Nothobranchius furzeri: one gene and its partners. The protein of the gene in region 2 interacts with the protein of the main gene of each other region in a pairwise test. Links are inferred from orthologs where the notes say so. Each region holds a gene or a part of one and is shown on either strand. Other genes may lie near its edges.

Evidence for each region.
Region 1: the proteins of katnal1 (region 2) and cox17 interact in binary tests that used the Homo sapiens proteins (3 or more experiments, as listed by UniProt). The two-hybrid records come from large-scale screens. The link is inferred for Nothobranchius furzeri from reciprocal best matches to the Homo sapiens genes KATNAL1 and COX17.
Region 3: the proteins of katnal1 (region 2) and katnbl1 interact in binary tests that used the Homo sapiens proteins (3 or more experiments, as listed by UniProt). The two-hybrid records come from large-scale screens. The link is inferred for Nothobranchius furzeri from reciprocal best matches to the Homo sapiens genes KATNAL1 and KATNBL1.

What each region holds. Positions count from the first base shown.
Region 1 is NC_091754.1:33,352,544-33,360,458, reverse strand, and holds the start of cox17 (cytochrome c oxidase copper chaperone), read right to left. Parts: upstream 4,152-7,915; 5' UTR 3,721-4,151; intron 1,690-3,720; 5' UTR 1,683-1,689; coding exon 1,564-1,682; intron 1,481-1,563; coding exon 1,396-1,480; 3' UTR 1-1,395.
Region 2 is NC_091754.1:27,837,861-27,845,930, forward strand, and holds the start of katnal1 (katanin p60 ATPase-containing subunit A-like 1), read right to left. Parts: upstream 4,513-8,070; 5' UTR 4,341-4,512; exon of another isoform or gene 4,337-4,340; intron 3,885-4,336; 5' UTR 3,873-3,884; coding exon 3,711-3,872; intron 3,127-3,710; coding exon 2,966-3,126; intron 2,598-2,965; coding exon 2,432-2,597; intron 2,367-2,431; coding exon 2,245-2,366; intron 2,176-2,244; coding exon 2,070-2,175; intron 1-2,069. Other genes in the region: zgc:101559 (ras-related protein Rab-33B), read right to left, coding at 5,772-6,218, 6,501-6,758. UniProt on the Homo sapiens protein: Regulates microtubule dynamics in Sertoli cells, a process that is essential for spermiogenesis and male fertility. Severs microtubules in an ATP-dependent manner, promoting rapid reorganization of cellular microtubule arrays.
Region 3 is NC_091742.1:12,531,740-12,539,469, forward strand, and holds the start of katnbl1 (KATNB1-like protein 1), read right to left. Parts: upstream 4,222-7,730; 5' UTR 4,084-4,221; intron 3,605-4,083; 5' UTR 3,594-3,604; coding exon 3,480-3,593; intron 3,339-3,479; coding exon 3,301-3,338; intron 3,113-3,300; coding exon 2,830-3,112; intron 2,747-2,829; coding exon 2,631-2,746; intron 2,560-2,630; coding exon 2,509-2,559; intron 2,375-2,508; coding exon 2,285-2,374; intron 1,385-2,284; coding exon 1,280-1,384; intron 591-1,279; coding exon 497-590; intron 266-496; coding exon 233-265; 3' UTR 1-232.

The DNA of each region.
Region 1 (7,915 bases), about 5.5 Mb from region 2:
ATCTCGCGGGCCACATAAAAATGCTCCGCGGGCCAGATGTGGCCCGCGGGCCTTGACTCTGACTTATGTGATCTAACATCATAGTGTACCTCTTAGCCAATAGCGATGGCAATTTAAATTCAAATGCAGTGCAGAGTTTTTACCAGACGACGGTGCATCGCTGACAGTTTTAGGCAGAATATTTAAATTTTAACTAAAATGCCGAATTATTGAATACATTTGTCTACAGCACGATCAGACACTCATTTATATAGTTTATCAGCAAAAAAATGTTGATTTGGAGTGACTTGCTCTTTAAAAAGACCTCAGCCCTCATGATCTGTGCATGTTTAGTGCGTGGGAACGATTTTACGTGTGGCATTTGCCAGTTTGTACTTGTGCGTACAAATGTTCCTCAACATAAGAACAGCTCTGACCACGCGTACGAACAGCATCTAGGAGGTAGACCGGGGGAACAGCAATCATAAAGGTCTAACCCCTTCTTTCCACCGGAGCCGTCAGCAGCACGTTACTGCAGCAGCACGTCTTGCTCGCGTAAGCTGCTGCTTGGCCCTTCCCACGAGACGCAAAGCAGCAGGGGAGCAGCTGTCACCGACAGAGCACAAAGTCCTCCTCTGCTCTCCAATCATGCACGCAACCAGACTGAATGACAGCTGAGAAGAGGCAGAGGCTTCACTCAGACAACATTTCCAAATGAAACTAACTCCGAACAACCCGTAACTCTACGATTTATCAAATCCACTTTGTATTTATTCCTGACGGGAACCTCTCAGTCCCGTTCATGACCTTAGCAACTTGTTCTTTTTTGCGCTTCGGCAGCCAGTGTTTCGATCTCGTTGTCAAAGTTTTTCTTATTTTTTCTGGAAAAAGAAAAACAGGGAATCCCCTCACGTGCTGCGGACATAGCGTAACCAAATATGGTTAATTGAGGGTGTTTCTGTATGTAAATGACGGTGAGCGGACACGAACGCCTGGGTACGCACAGGTGGGATTTATCAGCAGATGACTGCGGAGATGCGTACGTACGAGAGGCTCCCGCACGTTTAAGTCTTGACTGTTCGTACACACATTCTAAATTTTGGTCATAGGAGGGAATTTAGGACATATGAACATTTGATAAATGAGGGTCCTAGTGTGATCTGTAAGTGCTGTCAATAAAACTCTGTGAGATCAAGAGCTGTAGCCATCTTTGTTGGGTAGGCTGATGTTGACTCAAAGGTTTAAATTAGCTCTACAACCAAAGAGTTTGATCTGACTGTCTAAAAAAATCCACCCAGTGGTCCACAGAGTCCCCACAGAGACAAATCTGACCCAGAAGGAAACGTAACCCGGTCTATGAATTACAACGCAGACTAAAACAGAACCATTGACACTTGCCACACACACAACCAGTGGTTAAATCTTGAATCCAAGAGCCCTCATGCACTCTTTATGTGCCTCGATGAGGTCTCTGCAGTTCTCCTCTCCCTTTTCAATGATGCTGAAGGAAAAAACAAGGGAGAAGTAAATGTTTTCTACACGCCAAAACAGGAACAGCTCTTGTGTCTATGAGCAGGTTCTCACCAGGCATCCCTGACTTTCTTAGTCTCTGGACAAGCGCAGCACGCTTTCAGACGTTTCGGCTGCTCTGCAGCTCCAGTTACAGCTGGAGTCTCAACGCTAGCAGCACACAGGGAGGACATCTTCTAGCTGAAATATAGAAGAAAAGCAAAATTCAACGGGACAATTTTAAATGTTGAGTGCACAGTTGCTCATCTACATGTCCGCCAACCATGTTTCTCGGAAACGAAACAAGCAAGAAGGTCCGGATCTGACCCAGGACATGCTGGAGACATAATGGGTGTTTCTCAATGCCAAGGAACCTCGTCTTGATGTCCTGGCCCCACCCCGATTGCCTAGGAGATATGTCATCAGGAGCCGCCAAGACGTGTTCCAATGTTCATGTTCTGCCGAGGCGTGTGTTCTCCGTTTGTTAGCCGTTTAGCTAGCTGAGCGAGGAGACGCGGGAGGTGTCTTGTAGCCTAGCATTGGTCAAAAATTTCCCAGAATACACCACGGTATTTTCAAAAGGATGGCAGATCAGAAGCCAGCAACTACTTCAGGGCAAATTTAAAGTTTAAAAGTAAGTCAGGTAATTTAAAATGTTTTTTTTTAGATCCAAAGCAGTTATCTATGGTTGGTTAGTTGCTGTTTAGTTGCAGCTTCGGTGGCTAGCGGGGGGTAGTAACTCGCATATATTTAATTTAACAAGCTTATACACAATTTAAAAGTAAAAGGCTCGTTATATATTTATATTGAAACTAATATGTATTATATATATAACATTATCTCCCGTGTCACGTGACGTGACGGCCGTGGAAGCCACAGTCACAGGATGCAAGTCTGTTCCGTTTAACCATTTTCTTTGACCAAGGAAGGACAGTGTCCTCGTAAGCAATGTGCCTAGCCTCACAAGGCCAGGTGCCTTCACACTGATAAACACCCAATATCTCTGGGCTGCCTCAGGAAACCTCTGGGTCCCACCGGAGATGATGACATCGTCTGGGGAAAGCTGAGGAAGATAACTGAGTTTGGAGATAAATAATAAGAAGAAGAGAGGCGGGAGCGTTCGTAACAAACTCAAAGCGATAGTCAAAATATGAAGCATGAAATGGAGTTATACTAGTGGCTCCAATAAGAGAAAGAAGCAGCATGCTTCATAAAAGCTTTTATTTTCACTTCTGAAAGTGACGTCGTTTTTCGGTGTAAACATCAAAAAGAAGCAGAAAGGAAAGACAATGGAAAATGTTTAAAGGGGGGGAAACATAGACCAAAATGGAAAATAGAAAAAAAAAACTAAGGCTAAAGCACAGGAGCACTGACAGGAAAAGGAAAGCAGAGCAAATATTGAAAGCACTCAAAGGGAGAGAAAAAAAGGAAAAAAGAGGACTAATAAAAAGGGAAAATAACTCATGTCAGAAGAGGGAGGAGTTTCGCAAATCTAGTTAAAGGTAAGATTGTTGAAAATTTTGTGTAAGGGGCCCCGTGTCTGTGTTCGCCTTGGGCCCCCAAATTGCTAAATCCGCCCCTGACTGCGGCACAGACGGAGGTTAGCTGAATTCCAAGGACTTGCTATAGGGAACGGTGGTTCGCTTAGGGACTATCAACAAATTTGTAGTCCTTTGTAAACGAGTACAAAAGAAATTAAAAGCTTCCAGAATAATTTGCTAAATGACTCAAAATTACTTCTGACTTGTGTTACTAAACTACATTTACAAGACACAACAGTTTTAACACATTTCAAACACTCTGATCTTTTGTATTAGGATTTTATTCCAAATCAAATTCAAATTACAGCATTTACCCCCCCCACACACACACACACACACACACACACACACACACACACACACACGTGGACTGACGTAAATTCCAGAAGCCTGAACTCAGAAACAGAAACTAGCACGGAACTTTCGGCACCTTGAGGACTTTTTGGGCATCGAAACGTGCCTTCATGACTTGTTTCGCCGTGCTGTCTCTAGTCCTCTAGTCCAACACCAGACGTTGCGAAACGATTACATTAAGTTAGCTAGCACACATTAGCTAACATGTTCCGTCATATTTTAGCTGATTTCTTTCCAGATAGACGCAGCGGTTAAATGAACGCATGACGCAGCGCATCATTTAAAATCTCTGCTGATTATTAACGAGACTAACTTATGAAAAGTAATGCTGACTTACCTGTATCGAGTCCACACCAGCTGGACACTTTCACCTTCAAATTGACAATATCATCCGGGTAACAAGGTCACGTGGAAAATTTATTTCCACGTGACCTTGTGTTTTACGCTTCTGGGAAATGTAGTTAATTTGTGCAAAAAATCAGAAAAACTATTCCAGACTAGCATTTACATGATAAAACTGGTAACAAATCTAATGTTTTGGTGAGGAATAATGAACTTTGATCTGAAGACACTATTATGCCAAGAATACAGTAAGTTAAAACAAATTTACTTTGGCTGTATTTAGCTAAAACTTAAATTCTAAAGACTATAATTAGCCATAACTAGAATAGAATAGAATAGAATAGAATAGAATAGAAATGTTATTGACATCTTGATTGTCTTTAACACTGGTGGTTAGACAGCACGGAGGTGGCATTACAGACTGAACCTGGCAGAGTCCCTGGAATCAAGGCTCAATGAAAATGCATTTGCAGATACCGTACATCCTCTAATACAGGCCCGGGCCTGTATTTGACTAAAGCTCATCAAGCTCCAGGCCTTTATTGGAAGGAGGACCAGAATTAGAGGCAGGCCTCAATTTCTGTTTGAGCAAAATGAATTAATGGTTCACTGGAGTTTTTGACAATTAAAATTGCGCCCACATTTTCAAAGTTAAACACATTTCTTTTAACAACGGTAGTTTCTGCTTCAGCTCTCTCCCCCCCTCCCCCTGCGCAGCAGCCGCAAACTCACTGATGCGCCTGCAGCCTCTCGGAGTTCCTGCTGCTCTAAACATTAAAATAATTATTTCATTTTCTGTTCCTCACTTCTGATTACCTTCAATGGTGTCTGTTTGTTGCAACCACCAGGTATAAAAACTAACTTGTTTTTATTTGACTATTTTTCTGTCCTGCCTGTTTATTATCTTCCCGCATCTCCTCTCAATCCTAAAGAAAAACTGCTACCTGGGTTCATATATATTCACCTTATGAGTTACCTTTGAACTGCAGTTCTAAAAGATCTACCGACCGCAAAAACAGCAGAGTGCTCGGTGCTTGCTGGCCGCATCAGTGAGGTGCGTCACCGGAGGACAAGGTGATGCGCCCCGCTCCACAGCAGCGAAACGCATCAGGCACAAATAAAAGAATAAAAGACATAGGATTTCCGGACGCAGCTCTCACCGTTCTCCATTCCTCCCAGCCGGCCCGCTCTCCTGCTCTCCTCTCGCTCCCTCTCCTGGACACCCCACTTGGATTCACCCCGGCACCCAACCTACCCTCCCTCATTCCTACGCTCCCCTACTCCCAGTAAGTCTATTCTCTGCACCCACCAAGTTTAGACTTACCTTCCTGGACTCACCTGATCTGCCCCCCCCCCCCCCCCCCCCCCCAGACGCTGCGCTCCCATTCCTGATCTCCACTGGGCTTTTCCAGTGCACCTTCAGTTCCCGTTTTAAAGATTCTTTTTTTTTTACCATAAGATCTGCAAACTCTGCAATAAAACATACATAGCGGAAACCGGACGCCAACTCAACACACGAACAATAGAACATAGAAAGGAATGCGAGAAAGAGGCAAGTCGAAAACACACAAGAGCAGTGAAAGAAGAAGCAGAAAGCACAATAAAGAAATCAGTAACAGATCACTGCATAAGAGAAAATCATATAATGGACTGGGACAACATAAGGATCATAAACACCGAACAACAAAAATACAAAAGATGGATAAAAGAAGCAATCGAGACAAGGAGACGTGGATGTGGGACCATGAACAGGGACGATGGAGTTTACACGTTGGACCGCGCATGGGACTGCATCGTCGGAGAGGGGAGAGTGGGCAGCAGAGGGCGACAACGTCCTCTGCTGCCCGCGGATAAACTGAGAAGGAAGTGACGCCACCATCAGCGTCAGCCTGAGGAAGTTTGCAGCCGCAAACGAAACGTAGCGGGAAAACGGGTAACAAAACTGTTCTGTGTTTTAAAAAAGAACTACAGCATGACACAAAAACAACCCGAATTTTCTCCGAGCCTGACAGTAATAGTCATGTGGACTGTTTCGTCGGCCAGGGCTTCGAGATGTGTTCCGATTCGCCGCTGATTCTAACCTTACATCCCGTTCCACATTTTGTGAACTTTAAAAATCAGCCCAAAGGCAGTGCAGACTGATATTAGCTAAATTAAGTGAACCACGTCTCTCAAAATTTGCGTTTAGGTAGGGAATTGACTTTAGAAGATGTTAAAACTTTTATTTAGCTTACTCACCTCAGACTGGAGCCCGCCATGGTGGGGGAGCAGAGTCGGTGGGCTGCATCTAAATCCAGGAAGAGCCACAGTGGGCACAGCCTCCCTCTTCAAACGGAGACATGCAGAACAACCCAGTTCAAACTCCATCATGTTGGTGAAGGAATCGCGGGTAAAATGCTGGTTGCAAACTACAGCACCAGGCGGGAACTGACTGTTTTCCAGACACCAATTGCGCGCAATCACTGGTGCCTAATTTCTAAGTCCAGCGGAAAGGAGTACAACCCCACAAAGCCACCGCAACCACACTACACTACACCTTCTCACCATACTAACACGATATGGAGCACTAAGCCCAAACTACTTTCCTATTAACACTAACAGCTAAACACTAACTAAACTACAATATCCAACAGCCAAGCTAACACTAAATAAGTATGTATAACACTGAAAGCTATGCTAAAGATTAGGTTATGCTAATGCTATATGCTAATACTGAACTACCGCTAACCTCCTACACTCGCTTGCAAATCCAAATCCCAACTCACCACAAGGCGTGGCCGAGACTCTCGATGCTTTTATAACTTTGACACAGAGCTGCTACGTAGTACTCTACTGGTTTACGTAGTATCTTTCTCTTTAGCCATTGGCTAAAGTGTATTCAAAATGACTCAAACTCTATGTTTTAAGCTGAAGGTGGCGCTATACTGTGGTATTTAGGCAGAATTTTTAATTTTTAAAGAAAATGCACCAAAATGCTAAAATAATGAATACACACATTTAAAACACTATTAGACACTCATTTATACAGTTCATCAGCAAAAAAAAAAGTTAATTTAGACGTTACTTGCTCTTTAAGATCTGCCAGGAGGAGCTGGAGAGGGTTGATGTGGAAGAAAGAACTTCGGAGAGGTGAAAACTAATTGATGGATGGATGTTCTTTTGTCCCACAATTCAAGTAAAAATGTCTGTGTTTATATTATTTATAAAATAAAAACTCTGCGTTAAGAGCACCAGCTGCAGAAATAAGAGTTTTTTCTACCCGGTTTCTAGCTGATACTGGTTGGTCTGGGACAGGGGCGTCGGACTGGGGGGGGGAAAGGGTACCGTTTACCCAGGGCCCACTGCAGGGAGGGGCCCTGAGACAGCTTTGAATAAAAATGTTTTATTGTTGTTGTTTTTTCCCCCAACTTACTTAATGTCTTAATAAACTTCCCTTTACCTGGATAAAGAGGTTAAGAAACAAAATTTCGCCTTAAAAATAATAACTGAATAACCTCTGAGGCATCTATCACCCCTTAAAAATGTGCAAAGTGGTTTAGTCCACACCAGCGGCCAGGGGCTGCACGGCCGCATGTACAGCTATGAGACATCGCAGATGCCGACAGCCAGAGCTGGAGGCAGGAGAGTCAGTCATGTCTTTTCCCAAGAAAGGGAAATCTGGCTTCCAGAAAAGAAAAGAAAAGAAAAGAAGGAGAAAAAGTTAATTGAACAGAAGCAAGTAGAAGGACGGTGAGCAGCAGCAGAACACAGTTAGCTAGCTCTCAGAAGCTGCATTCATGTTAGGTGTTCAGTGTTAAACGCCTTTAGTTTCACCATCAAGATCAAATATGAATTAATTAGTGTTATCAGTGAAAACACTAATTAATATATATATATTAATCAGAATTATTATCGCGGGCGACCTCGCAGTAAAAACAGGTTCACTCTGTGTGGATATTTCAGCTCCTTCCCAGTCATGGACCAGGACAAACTTGGTATCGATGGATTCGTGGTAATCTCAGGAACGTGAAGCTGCCACTGTTTTTCGTATAGCATGATGACACGGGTGTTAGAGGATTGTTATTGACTTGGTTAGATATTTTAAGCCTATTTTAAATTTCTTTATATTTGATCTTGAAAATGGACAATCTTATAATTTGGCTGATAATGCAGGGATTATAAAATTTAGAGTACATTACATTCACAGAGAG
Region 2 (8,070 bases):
GTGTTACAAGGAAACGTGGCTCAGTGAGGGCATCCCGGACAGCACGCTCCAGCTGGAGGGCTTTCGTCTCCTCTGCACCGATCAGCAAGCGGCTCTCTCCAGCAAGACAACAGGTGGAGGTGTGTGTTTTTACATGAATAATGGTTGGTGTACAGATCTTACAGCAATCGCTCAGCATTGTTCCCCCTCTGGAATATCTTTTTATGAACTGTAAACCATTTTTTCTCTCCACGGGAGTTTGCTTCATTCATTCCAGCTGCTGTTTGCATCCCGCCAGACTCGGATGTGCATGAGGCTCGGCTCGCGGAACAGACATTGTGCATGGAGCGGACGAACCCGGACTCCCTCATCATTGTTCTGGGAGATTTTGACAAAGCCAGTCTGAGCCAGGAGCTTCCCAAATATAAACAATATAGTAAATGCCCAACCAGAGAGGAGAGGACACTGGATCACTGTTACAGCATGGTAACGAGAGCCTATCATGCAGTGCCCCGCACTGCACTCGGACTTTCTGACCATGTGACCATCCATCTGATCCCAGGATACAAACAAAGGCTGAAGCTCTCCCAATCTCCGACCCCATCTGCAGGTGGATCGCTGACTTCCTGGTGGACAGGAAGCAGCAAGTGAGGCTGAGGAAGAATGTCTCTGACCTGCAGACCATCAGTGTTGTGTTCTCTCCCCTCACACCAGCAGCTGCGCCTCTAACCATGAGTCTGTCAAGCTTATCAAGTCTGCAGACGACACCACCGTCATCTGACTCATCTCTGATGGGAATGAGTCTTCCTACAGAATGGAGGTCGAACGGCTGGTGTCCTAGTGCAGCCACAACAACCTGGTGCTAAACACCCAGAAGACAGACAAGGTTGTCGTGGACTTTAGGAAGCACACAGCCCCACTCCCCCCACAACCCTGTGTGACACTCATCATGATGGTGGACTCATGTCGCTTCCTGGGCACCACCATCAGCCAGGACCTCAAGTGGGAGCATACCATCACCTCCATCATAAAAAAGGCCCAGTAGAGGATGTACTTCCTGAAGCAGCTGAAGAAATTCAGCCTACCAGACAGTCGATGAGGCAGTTCTACACCGCAGTCATCAAGTCCATCCTCACCTCTTCAATCACCATGTGGTATGCTGGAGCTACCATCAGGGACATGAAGAGAATGCAACGCGTCATGATCTCTGCTGAGAAGGTAACTGGCCGCTAACTCCCCTCCATACAGGACCTGTACACCTCCAGGACATTGTGGTGTGCAGGTTGGATCACAGCTGACCCGTCTCACACAGTCTTTTTTGACTCACTCCCATCTGGCAGGAGGCCCGATCCATTTGGACCAGAACCTCTCACCACACGAACAGTTTTTTCCCCTTCTGTGGTCAGACTCATGAATGTCAATCATAGAACTGCCAACTCCAGCTGCTTTGTTTCCGTCACATGACCATGTGTTGTGTTTGCACCTTAACTGATAGGTCCGCTCGGACCAGTACCTACACTGGCTTGTATACATTATTATCATTTCATTGTGTTTATTTCCTTATTATAATTTTTGCTAATCATTAAAATTTTCTTGCACCAAGTATCGCAGCAATTTCCTAATGTTGTGATTCCCTTCTGATTCGAATTCTGGCCAAAAAAAAAAAAAATCTTAGAAAATTGCTACAAGAACTTTTTTCCATTTGCCTCTCTGGGCTGTGCAAAATAAATAAATAAATAAAAACTTTGAAAAATGCCACAAGAATTTTTTTTTTCAGTTGCCTTTTAGGGCTTCCGTAGATTTCAGGCAACCTGCACTCAGATGTATTTCTCCTCTAAACCCGTTTATGGATTCTTGTTTTTGCTGCTCCTACAGATTTTTTGGTGAAAAATCTGCCCTGCATCAATTTCTAAAATGAAAGTTTTGGTGTACAAGAGCTGTGCCGTTTTAAAAATTCTCACATGTTGGGCCTGAAGGGAAAAAGGCCTCATATGATGAAGTTTAACCGAGAGGAAAATCTGAGATTATACAGCAGATTAAACCGAATTTGATCCTAAAGTAGGATGAAAGCACACATCCGGCCTTTGTACCTTCCACGGCCGCCGGATTCCCTTAAAGAAGTCAGGCATCCACATGGGAAGCACCACGGCTTCCCTCAGCAGCTTCTTAGCATCTTCCAGATCAGCGATGTCGTCCCTACAGATCAGAGAGCAACCAGTGAGCAGAGCAGAAAGAAATCTGCTACAAAGCTTAAAATATAAATACCAGTGAACGTTGGGGTTACGAGACACAATGTCTCTCTCCAGTGAGTCCACCAAGTCGCTGTCATATCCTGTACCATCAAACTTCTTCTGTTCTGCATCTCCCTGTAGATCTGGTTTCTTCCCCTGCAGAGAAAAGGATATTTTAATAAAAGGCTCCAACAACATGTCTGCCTGCTCAGCTGCCTGACCTTATCGTCTTTGGCCCTTGTACCCCGAGTGTCTCTGGCCCCTGCTGCCTTGGGGTTGACCTGGGCACGGCCTCCTGGCCCTGCTCCTCGATGCTGCAGACCAGAAGAGTCCTTCTTCTGCTGCTGCTTCACGGCGCTGTTGGGCCGCTTCGCTGCAACAGGATTCCTACAAAGAATACGATATAGAAAGATGGATAATAGCTGAAAATACCAGCAGTTTCAGACAGGATAACAGGTAAAAGACGATCTCTGATAGTTATTTATTATTCTAGAGATTAAACCGATTATGCAAAATAAACTCAAAGTGCTTCCTTCTGCCGGTTTTGCTCTGCTGAGTTTCTTTTTGAACTCTGATCACTGAAACACAAACGCAGCCGTGCTCCCTGGGTTTACAAAAACACAATAGGCATGGGTCATTTCTGCTTATATCCGCTGATATAAAATCTACCATTGTCAAACTTAGAAACATGCTTTCTATAATTAGTTTTCTTCATCCAAAAGCAATGAAATCTGCAGCACACCAGCTCTACCCACCTGTGTTCTGCTGGGATGGGTGGAGGCCACACAGCTGGATCCTCGGGTCGCTCCTCCACCTTAGAGGGGAGGACCTCAGCAGGCCTCACTGACTTGAAGCTCTCAAGTGTTCCCATGATGCCTTTCAGCTGCTCGTACTCCTCAGTCAGTTCCTGTCTGAGCTGATTACCAATAAAAGGGAGAATAAATAATGAATCACGGAAAAAATGTGATAAAATGCATTCATTTGCACATGCAGTCGATGGATAATGAACTTCTACATGAAAACCCGGTTGCAAGAGTGTATTTTTTCAGCCGACAAAAAACTGACTTTGTTGAAACTGGTGTCATTGTAGGCTTCTCTCCTTAGAAATCTGCGTAGGTGCACTTTAACAAAAGCCATCCTTCCACGTGTCTCCGGGTCAACCTTGTGTGGAGTGCTTTTAAACAATCCACACTAACCTTCACATGCTGGAGTTTGACTTTGGTGCCACATATGGAAGGATTCTCAACATTTTTATGACCACAAAACATCTTAGTAACGTGCCACAGTGTCTACACAGGACAAGATATTTGTTACTTGCCTTCAGTTTTGGAATAATTGACAGAATTATCAGCTCTACTGGAACAATCTGCCACTTTTTAATACTTTAAAACCCATCAGATGTTGGTAGACTCTGATCGTGTAACAATAGACAAAACAACAGGGGCGAGGAACCTAAACAAAAGCTCAAAAATGGTTCAGACCAGGTTTCAAGGGACTCACCTGCAGCCATCTCACTTTAAGTGCTGGATCTCTGAGGGTCTGACAGTGCTTTTGGATCTGCTGAATCACACCCTGGTAGTACACGATGGAGGAGTCATAGTTTCCTAGTAAGGCATATTCACGGCCCTTTTTGGCGTTGTCACAGATTTCAGCCAAATTCATGTTGAAAGACAGCTAAAAAAAAAAAGAGGGAACCAAACATGTCTAAGAAGAATAACAAAGCACTGGCTACCGATGGCTGTTCGAAATGTAAATTCAACCCAGCATTTGTCATTACGCCCCCTAAATGTAAATGTACAACAGATTAAATCTAGACGTCTGCTTTTATCAGAATGAGACTGCAACCTACTACATGCAGGTTAAGCTAGCTGCTGGTGGGCAGTGAACTTCACCTCATGGGAAATTTAGCTGGACATTACATATAAGCTTGTTTACTTTCTTACACTCCCTTACAATCTACGTTAGCGTCAACAGCCTGCGGTCAGATAACTCATAAATAAATGAACAAACAAACAAACCGAATCGTGTCAGCGAGAAAAGGCTCCTCGTGTGGAGCTTCCAAAACAAGCTAACAATGGCGACCATTATCGTAAATTAAACATTTATCCACGGAATAATACTCATACCTACACGAAAAACGTCTGACGGACAGGTGTTCTCTGACGTCGTCTTCCAGAAAAGAGAGCTGTGGTCGCGGAGACGCCGAGAAGAGAATACAGACTGCCTGGTTACCGTGCTGCTTTCACTTACCCATAAAAAGCTGGTAAAAATGACAACACAGCTTCCATTAGGCGAAGAACCGCTTGAAAACTGTCACCACACGTCAACGTTACATATAAAGAAGTAGATTTTGTAGCTATTTTTAGTCTTAATTAATAGTGTTGACGCAGCCATTTGAAGACAGGAGAACCGACGGCCAGTTACCCTTGACGGAGGAACAAACAAACACCATGCAGGCACTATTCAATGGGGACCGGTAGCAGCACCCCGCCCCTTTATTTATGCATGCACATTAATCAGTCACAGTTGTAAGAGCACAACTAATCAACAAAGCTTAACAAATAGAATTCTTCTTAATAAGTAGGTTAAACTAGTACTTATAATTACAGACTCGCCCTTTTACGTAACTTTCCGTAACGCATTATTGCTAGTTACATGTGTTGTCCGCTAGAGGGCGCTAGAATTACGTCAAATAGGAGACAATTGTAGCACATTTTTACCATATGCCTCTTTTTATTGTAAAGTATCTTCATCAACAGTTAGTTAAATTATAAAGCTGTATAAATTAAACTTTTCTTGTTCAGAGACTGGCATATTGCATTAATTATTATCATCATTAATATTATTAAAGGGAGTGTGAGATAATATCAGAACTGATTTATTCTTACATAGTTCCTTTGTCAAACAAGACCAGCTACCTGACATGTTTGAGCTAATGTTACAGAGCAACAACCAGAATAGTCAAAAATACACATTTATAATCCAGATAAAAAGTGTTTTATTTGATTTGCTGCTTTACATGGTCAGAAATCTCTAGCTTTGCGAAAACTATACTGCTGTATACATGCAGCATAAATACCATATTTGATGAGAGTTAATCGTCATTATTAGGACTAATACTCAAATTTATTTTGTAAATAAAATGTATTTAAATCCCGTCCAAAGACAGTTCCATGTTTAAAATTGCATTCCTGATTTTGACTGAGCTGTTTCTGTGATTTTACATTCAAAAATAATACTTACAGTCTATGTTGTGATCTAGTAGTGAATCCTTTAAGAAGGGTGATGATTTTGAATAATGCAAGTCATTCATAACCATTCATCTAAAGTGCAAATACTTGGAATACACCCACATTCCCCTTTTTCATTTCACAGAAAGGTTGGTTAACAAACGTATACATCTACATTGTGGCATGGGTCCAGTTTTGAATCACAGGAAGCTTCGGTTCAATTTTTTTAAAACACAAATTAGAGACATTTTTTTAAACCGGCTCGATTATCTGTTTAAAGTCTGCTGCAGGATCTACGTTCACTTTCCGCTCATTTGGGACACAGATAACCTCAACATCGACAAGATGTTGCATCCTGCTCCTGCTGGTCCCGCATTTCCCTGAGACTGCTCTCACTCGGCTGCTTCAGTCTCAGAGTCTTGTTGCTTTTCAGCCTGTAAGCTAAAGTCAGAAATATCGCATCGATGTGTTCTTTCTCACTGGGGTCTTTGGCCGAGGTCTCAAACAGAGGTATGTTGTGGCTGTCAGCGAGAGACTGAGCAGCCGACGTGGGCACTTGGCAACTTTCCCTCAGGTCACATTTGTTTCCTACCAACACTTGAGGCACTAAGGGCCCCACAGAGTGTCGGCTGCACTCGCTGATCCACTCAGGGATGCTCTCAAAGGAGAGAAGACTGGTCATGTCATACACAAAGAGGACGGCATGGACGCTGCGGTAGTAGTGCTCCACCATGCTTTTCCTGAACCGCTCCTGGCCAGCTGTGTCCCAAATCTGCAGCTGGAATAGAATCAAAAACACATCAAGTCATAATCTGACTCCTTACACTTTGTCTGTGGCACACATCTCCAAGCAGACTTGACCATAGTAGTCTAATGTCAGTAGAAAGGCCATCTGATCTAACACAGCTGGTTTGTGCCACAGCTGCTTTATACTGTAATACAATCTAAATATCTGATGTAGCTAAATAAGTTGTTTTATTAAAATGTTGTTTTTGCCGTGAATCCCATAAAAAGTTCTGTTATGACTGAAAACATCTGATTGCTTTAAGAGCCTTCTCACCTTGATCCTCTCTCCGTCCAGCTGCACCGTCCTCTCCCTGAAATCCACTCCGATTGTCGCCTCCGGGTTTTTCAGAAAAGAGCCCCCGCAGAAGCGATAGGTCAAACACGTCTTCCCCACATTAGAATCTCCTATGACGATAATCTTAAACGTTCGAGCTTGTTTGTTGTCATTTTCAAGGCTGGAGAAGAGCTCTAAGGAGTCGTTTTCACTGAAAACTGAGTCCCATTCCTCCTGTGTTTTGTTGACATCGCTCATGTTTGGAGTGTTACGTCACGGCAGTGAAGTATCGCGAGAAGATGAAAAATCGCCGCTAGAATGTCACCTGGGGAAGTCCTAGTAGCAGAAAATAAACAATAAAAGCACAAAAACACAATAAATCAGTTTAATTATATAATTGTCCAAAGATGTGGTATTATCTTAATAATATTTTTTAATTCCAACAATATTTAGTAGTTTAAATAAATTTGACTGCTTTGCTGTTTTATGATTTGCTTGCCTGTTTTGCTCAATGAGTAAAGCACGAGGAAAAAGTTTTTACAGATATGCTTGATTTTCTAAATATTAATTTAAATTTTAAACATTAAAATTTCATGCACGTTGTTGCAATAAAGCAAAGAAATATGTTTTAAGGGAAACTGATGGAAAAACTTTCTCTCAGTTGATGATTTTATTATTTTTAGACATTTTTCTCATTTAAATTCAACATATTTCTTTACAAATTTACTGAACATTATCAACAGTCTAAAAAAACTAACATTTATACAATTTCAAGTGATAAGTACATTATAGTATTGCACAACAATTATTGTCATTTACCACTCAGTGAATGACTAATGTGTTTTTCTAAAATTGTGTGTTATAGATTTGCACAACTTACATGGTATTTTGTCAAATTTTTGTCAAACATGAGCTAGTTTTGAAAATTCCAACAAAAATCTCAAAAATGAACACACCATCTTTGATCCAACTGTTTCCAGTTTCAACATGAAATAATACCATCTTGGACAAATAAATGTTATGTACATGGATTTTTATTCTGACGGGAACATCTTAATTTCCTTCTCATGTGTACAAAACAACCAGTCAGGCTTAAACTCATTAATCAGAATACACACAAAAACATCTCAGACAGAGCATCTCAGACTGCTCTGACTGAGATGCTAATTTCGACCACGTGGTCATTTAGAAAGGTTTTTGAATCACAACAATTGTACGACAAAAAAGTAAAATGTTCTAATTACAATAAGCAGTTTTTAATTTGTGTTTTAACTCAAAATTAGAAACCGATAACTTAAAATATTAAATGTCCACAAAATCCCCAGATAGTGCTGAAAACAAACCAACTGAGAATGGTTTATATATATATATATATATATATATATAAACCATAAGAAAATAGTAATACAAAAAAGAAAAAACACCCAACTGGTTCAAATAAAGTTTAACAAAACATATTTATCATCAGTAGTTTGATAAAACTCCCAAAATGATCTTCTAACATGACAGAAATGCTTTTGCTGAAGCCTAACCCTGAGAGAGGACACAGTAAACAGACTTCAAGAAACTA
Region 3 (7,730 bases), on a different chromosome or scaffold from region 2:
ACTTCAATGTGAAGCAGTCATTTGCTGTGCAGGCAGGACGTTGAAGCCCTCCTCAGGAGTCCTCAGCTCCCAAACTGAGAAGATCTGTCTGAATTGTCAAGTTCAGTCCCAGATAAGAGGTTTGAGTGTGAAGAGAATGCACCAGTCCATCTCTCTGGCAACATTATCAGTTGAAAACACAACCGTGATCAGCAGTAGTGGTCTTATCCTCGGAGTGCTTCAGCAACACCTGTCAGGGCAGCTGCAACAGGTACGCCTCAATGGCCTGCAAAACAAGAGTCAGCACATCGTTATTAGTACAGCTAGATGGAAAAAGTCAGCATTATAAGATGTAGTGTTAGATTTAACACGCACTTATGAAATCATTTTCAAACAGAAATGTGATAAAACCTTGAAAATACATTAGAATTGAAGCACTTTGAATGATTTATGGCCCCTGTAAGAACCTTGTATAAAAGAAAACTCATGATGGATATATTAAGGATGTCATTTATACCTTTGCCAGTTCTCCAATAGATCCTGGAACCGAACATAATCGAGATCCTTCCTTCCACAAGTCCTTCAGTCGCTGTCTCATCATCTCAATGTTTCTGAAATAAAAAAATGATACCAATGATCCCGTATTTCGTAATATTTCTGTCATGTGGAGAACTGGATTCATGTTACTAAGCAGCATGATGATTTCACATGAAACTAAATCTTCATGCCCAAAAGGTTTAGTTGATTTTCTGGAGACAATAAAAACTTTGAATCCTGAAAACTCTCCAAACTTTTAGTCTCCAGATTTTATCTGAACCAAGTCTCTCTCTAGACCAATTTCAGGTTCTGTTTACTGGTTTTGACAACAGAACGCACCAAAGCCTCACAATAACAAATAACTCTATTGCTTTTATTTCCATGCAGGTTTAATCGTTTTATTTTTCCATATTTGAACTTTTCAAGACGAGTAACAAGTCTTCACAGGCCACAAAAACGTAAAAATTGTTTTTATGTGTTTTGCTCAAAAAATGCCCAAAAGGCACAAATCTTAGCACAACATTTTAAAATAAGCCGAGTCTGTTGGAGGGACAAAATCTAGCTAGAGAAATGCTATTGGACCATACTTTTATACGCCCGCTCTAGATGATGTCATGTAGTACTGGGCACCAGTTCGTTCCAGTACTCTAACGTGTGCACTGGGGTATATTCTGAGCATCACAGCTGTCTGTTCTGACATCCATCACAGAAGTTTGAGCCATTAAAAATAAAATCACCTGCTGTCCTTTACTAAAATGCTCACCTGTCATCTGAACAACTGTCCCGCAGTCTCTTCTCACTTTTAGAAAGATCTGGCCACCACTTTTTGACGACAGACTGGATCCAGTGTAAACCTGCGGTTATGTGTCTATAAGAAAAACAGAACAATGAAGTTCGAACATCTAGATATCCTGATTATATGACATTCAGTCACAAATGCAACCTTAAAGCCCACTCAACGCCATTGCAAGCCTGCTGGAGAGCCCTCGCACGGACGGACGGAGTCAAACACACTTTTCTAAACACCCGTTGAACAAGACAGAGAACGTAAGCTTGTGATTGGTCAGGATGCTGCTTTTGACAACAGCACAGCCAATGGGCCCAAAACACAAAGAGAGCTGAAGATATCTAGCAGCACACAGAGCAACTTGAAGATTACTTCACGGAAAAACTCTTAAATATGAACGTTTTATTGAGGAGTATACGCAGAAAGCGTTTTACTGGTGGACCGAAATTAGGGCTGAACGATCTATCGTTTTTGGACCGAAATTGCGATTTCAAACAGCACGATCACGTGAGCGTCAAAACTGCGGTTTTTGACTGATCCAGGATCAGTAGTGCAACTATTTTTTACATCCGGGGTTTTCCCCGTGTTATGGCGGCAGCAAAAGCCAGCGCGGGGGAGGGGGGTGGGGTGTACCGTCCAGAGCTGAGCCCAACTCCACAGCTGCCAAAGCTGCATGTTCAGGTTGATTTCCCGGTTTTATGTTCCCACACACAGCGCTGCTAGAGCCGATAATAATGGCACCGTAGGTGAGCCCGGGACAGAGAGAGAGAGAATGTAGTTGAGTAGGGGAGAGAGAGACTCCTCCCACATCAGCAGGTTCAGGCTGGTTTCTAAAGCTTGGTTTACGCTTCATCAGCGCGAGTGCGGAGTTGCGCACTTTAGTTGACTTAAAAGCTCAACTTCTCTTTTAAAAACGGTTTGAATGTTTCTGACGGCACAAGCTAGCTCAAACAAGCTAAGGTGTCAGAATAATATACTTACTCTTCATGTTTACTGGAGAGAACCACTTTGACGTGAGGCATGAGGTCAACACAGCAGCCAAGTGACAAACACGGCGTTTCAGTTTGAAGGCTGATGAAACAGAAAAAAAACCACATGCGATGGAAAGCAGACACGTGAATCGCCCACCTTTCAGAGGCATAGTAAATATTAAACTTAAAACTTTAGAATGAACAACCATGAGGTAAAAGCCAAATGTGACTTACTTGTTTGTTAAGACCGGTAAGCAGTCGAGCAGAACGCTTGTGTCTTGTATTCTGGGAAGCAAAAACAATAACATGTAACTGACAAATAAACACTAAACACCAAATGTGAGTGGTGCTTTTACCTTATTAGATAGGACACCAATTCACTGGCATTTCTTCGCCATAATGTTAGTGCAACTTTAAGTCGAAGATCTCTTCCAAAAAGGATGCGAGACATAGCTTCGTGTTCCTTCGATAACTACTCAGAAACAAACAACCAACGACGGCTCAAACAGGGTGGTGTTTTTCCAACTAACACTCAGCTTCAGATCAGTTTCTCACCTCAGTGAAGTCGCTGTACTTAGAGCTGGCCCCTGCCATCTTGGAAGCCTCTGCAGAGTTCACCAGCAGCCCGTGGTTATCATAGCAGCGAATGCTCCGCACATCATCGGAGCACGACAGCTCATTTTCTTTGTTGGCCATGCCGGGGTCACGGGGACGGCCTACATCTGACAACCTGCAGTGAAGCTTTGTGCCCACCTCCACTGACGAACAACTCTTCCTCTTGCAAAACGACAACCGCTTCACTTTGCCTGGACTCTGCTTTCTGAAATGCACCGGAAATCTGCCAAAAGAGACATGGAGATTAGCGCAGGCCGTGAAAGTTTAAAAACAACGTTTAGGGTCACAGACGTTGTGATATATGGTCATGGAAAGATGTCTGAAGGTTCCCGTGGCTGGAAGGGGTGATCTGTGGCAGAATGAGTGAATGATCACATTTGGATGAACCCCACATGTGGATTAGAGACTCACCTGTTCTTATCTAATTCTTCCTTATTTTTAATTTCCACCTAAAACAAAAGGATAGGGGATGAGGCCACTCCCACAGTCTCTACTACAACACCACTGAACGGCACTTCACTGTCACCAGGACTAAACCAAACAAGTACTGCATTTAATACAACAAAGCTGTTGGTTCTGTGGCTTCATACCTGCTTCATGATCTTTTCAGTAGAAACGTGCAGACAGGTTCGCTGAAAGCCATTGGATTTATGGTTGCTGACATTAAAGGCTTTCTGTCGGCAAACATGCTTACCAAATGCCATAATAAGGGACGCTGTTGGGACAGAAAATTAGGACAATCATTGATAATAAAACTGCTGTTTCCAACGCTAACTTAACATGTTGGCTAACTTTTAGCTAGCCTCCGAGCTACGGTGCAGAGTGATCCAGATCGATAAACAGACGCTTAACTTGGAATAAACTCTGAGGCATTGGCCGCTTTAAGCTCAATATACTGCAGCAAAAGTTAAAAGCTACTTTTTTCTTCGCTAAACATGAAACAATCAAGTTAGGAAAATGGAAACACTGCATTTCTCAGCTATAAAGCTGCTTCATGCGTCAACAATGACGGTATTTTTAGCTTCGACTAATAGCATTTAGCTTAATTATGAAGAAAACACCGAGACGTGGAAAGTAACTAGCTGGGCCGCGCTAAAAGGGTTAGCATTCCACCTCAGGCAATTTACAACTTCATGCTAGGTAATTAAGAAAAGCGTATATTTCTCCATTTACATGGTAGATTTAAATACCAACCGGTTCATTTTGTTAAATCCAACAGGTCCCCTCGGGTGTGTAAATCCGAAAGCAGAAAACCAGGTAAAACTGAAAGTTCACCTCCCGTCCGTGTTAGCAAGTCTGTTTTACCATTCAAATGAATACACCACCCGGTGAGGAGGGATTGTGGGATATATTTTGGCAAAGAAACGCCACAGTTTCTGTAGTTTTAGCGGCGACTGTCGGACGTTTACACAGCAGCAGTCACTAAAGAAGTCTCCACTCTGGCGCCATCTAGCGTGGAGTAGCCCATAATGCAGCTCGATTAAGAACAGGTAGGGTGTTGCATCTAAATATGTCCCCCGTCATAAACTTTTTTTTAAATGGACAAATATACAACTAATATGGTTTATACTTTCAGAAAAAAATTCTGCTTTAAAATGTACTAAAACAGACTCCTTTTTAATCCAAATAGGAGCAAAACAAGAAGAGTTCAATTTAAAAATGTAGAATTAAACAGGGAAAAAACAAAACACTGAAAACAAAACATAACACTACAAACGAGAGTTTTTTCAAGAAGACTGAATTCATTCATCTTATTATGCATTCCTAAATCTTGTCTTTTGTCTATAAACTTTACAGATGAGATAAAAGACCCCCTCAATTCCACCAGCACGTCTTCTAGTGAGGAAGAATGGTCCGGGGACTTTGGGTGACAAAGCTTCAGGGGTGGATGAGACCTGCCCGGAGTTCCTTAAGATTCTGGATGTCGTAGGGCTGTGTTGGCTGACGAGGCTCTGCAATATCGCGTGAACATGGGGGCAGTTTCACTAGATTAGCAGACTGGGGTGGTTAAAAAGGGGGACCGCAAGATGTGTTCCAACTACAGGGAGATCACACTCCTGGGCCTCCTTGGTAAAATCTATTTTGGGGTTCTGGAGAGGAGGGTACGGCGGATTGTCGAACCTCGGATTCAGGTGGAGCAGATCTTTTAGTTATCAGGCTCCTCTCCTGTGGAACCAGCTCCCAGCTTTAGTCTGTGAGGCAGACACCTTGTCTACTTTTAAGACTAGGCTTAAAACATTTTTATTTGATAGGGCCTATGGGTAAAATCTGATGTTAACCTAGATCTGGACAAGTGGGGGAGTAGAGGGAGGTGTAGTGTACAGTCGGTAAAGACGGCTCTCCCTTGCCCTGCCTCCAACATGCCTCCATCTAAAAGGCTAGGTTATCCAGAGTTATCTCTGTAGTTATGCTGCTATAGGCTTAGACTGCTGGAGGACACACTGACCACTTTCCACACTCGACTACTTTCTTCTACAATCTGCTCTTTAACTGTATTATTTCCTGCTATTTCAGCTTTTAACTTTATTTTTTCTCTGTTTTTTCTCCCCAGAAGAAGCTACAATGATGTTCTGTTGAGCTGTGGTGGCCTCATGGAGGGGGCCATCGGCTTGAACACTGTTGCTAATCATTTAATCATTCTCCCTCTCCTGATAATATTTTACTTTCTTTGACATTGCATGTGCTACTACTAGTTTAACTGTTTAATTATAGATCCACTAAGATAAATACAATAAAGTTTATAACTCACCAAATAGAATATTTACTAAGAAATCACAATGTTACCATAGAAACACTACTTGGTGTGTGTGTTGCGTGTGTTTTGTGTGTGTGTGTGTGTGTGTGTGTGTTGTGCGTGAGTGTGTGTATGTCTGCTCTGTATTCTCCATCCCCAGTGAGTCGTGGAGGATGGCTGCTTATACTGAGCCAGGATCCTCTGGAGGTTTCTTCCTGTTAAAAGGGAGTTTTCCTCTCCACTGTCGCTGCATGCTTGCTTAGTATGAGGATTGTTGTAAAGTCACTGACACTAGTCAATGACTCGATGCAATTTGCTGGGTTCCTTATATACGAAACTTTTTTCTGATTGGCTTAATGAACTGACCTGAATTGGAATGTTTATTATGTGAAGTGCCTTGAGACAACGTTTGTCGTGATTTGGCGCTGTATAAATAAACTTGAATTGAATTGAACTTGAGGCAGGACCTCATCCCTGACCTGGAGAAGGCATTCTACTCTTTTCTGACTCAAGACCATGGTTTCAGATTTAGAGGAGCTGATTCTCATCCCAGCTGCTTCACACTTGGCTGAGAATCACTCCAGCTAAAGCCAGAGATTACATTCTGATGACTTTTTAAACAACACTTTTTAATTGAATTCATGTCTTTCAAGGCTAAAGTGAAATTGTTGGTTTATAAACACGTCACAACATCCCTTGAGATGGACTTTCTTCATCTGTAAGCATTAGAGCCACGGTGATGAGCTCAGACCCTACAGCAGACCCAGACCACAGTGGGGAGATTATTTATACTTATATCTTGGATCAGGTGTGTTAATTTTGATGGGAGCAGTGATTCTTTGCTGCAGGGCATCCCTGTGTTAAATAACAGCTGCTGTCCTTGAATGTTCTTGTAGCAACTCTTTGTCCACAAATTGAAACTGATGGCAGATCTCAGAGGGTGTGATTTCAGCATGATGGGATTCAGTGACAGACTCACAGGGCAGGTCTGATGAAACTCTTAGAGAGACGCTTAAGAGTTCTGACTCATCCAAACATCTCTGGGAATTGTGTCAGAAAGCCTCCAACCAATACAACTCCAACTCAGCCGACCCTGTGCAGCAGTCTGCATCCACCTCCCCCACCAACCCAGTTATCAGTGTTGCTCATCTTCTCGTGCAGCACAAGCGACCCCGGGGACCCATCAGTCTCTGATGTAATGATGTCTAACAAGCATCAGCTGCTGCTGACTCAGACTTTCACATTCCTTCATTTTACTTCTCTTAAAGCAAAGCTAACAGCTGACAAGTTTCACTCAAAAAAAACAAACAAACAAAAAAACAAAAACAGCTGGGATTGGAGAACACAGTTCACCAACCGCACAGATAAACCAAACACGATAACCCTCAAGTTTCTAAATACGCAGCAGAAACAGGTCATGCGTTTGTTTTACCCTACCTCTCAGGTTCAAGAATGTTTGCAATTTCATGCTAAACTTGTGATTTATTTCAACCACCAAAGCAAATCCCCGTCTTGTTACAGCGAGTCGGGACATACGGATCTCAAAGTAGGTGGCCTTTTACAGCAAACAGATGCTGAAGGGTCAGTGCCGTGAGAGCGAGGAGAGCACTTCCCAACACTAGATGGCAGTACTCGTCTATGGCTGCAGGACACTTTTGGTGATAGATCCAGCTGCTTAAATGGTTTAATAGTCTAACCCGATCTCAAGGTACTTTAATCTGTACTGACTTGTTCTCTCAGAGGTTTTAAAACACAAGTGGAAAGTTGAAGCTTGCATCAGTTCCTTTCATGCTCTGGGACCGTCAGCAGGTGGTAAACTTCCTCACCTCTGAGCTGCCTGGGTGGGAACCGCCTGCAGACAGTAAAGCGTTTGTTCACACATTTGATTATACAAACTAGAGACAAGAATACACTTTACTCAGAAGGTTCAGCTCAACCACAGGCTGGTGTTTGATGATGTTTTGGGAGAAATCTATTGATCTTTGTATTCTAGCACAGGTTTTGCAGCTATCAGTGTACCATCAGCTATCAGTTAACTTTCTTTGTTGGAAACAGAAACAAGGTTTCTTTGTTTTTTATGGAGGACAATGTTTCTTTCCTTTATATG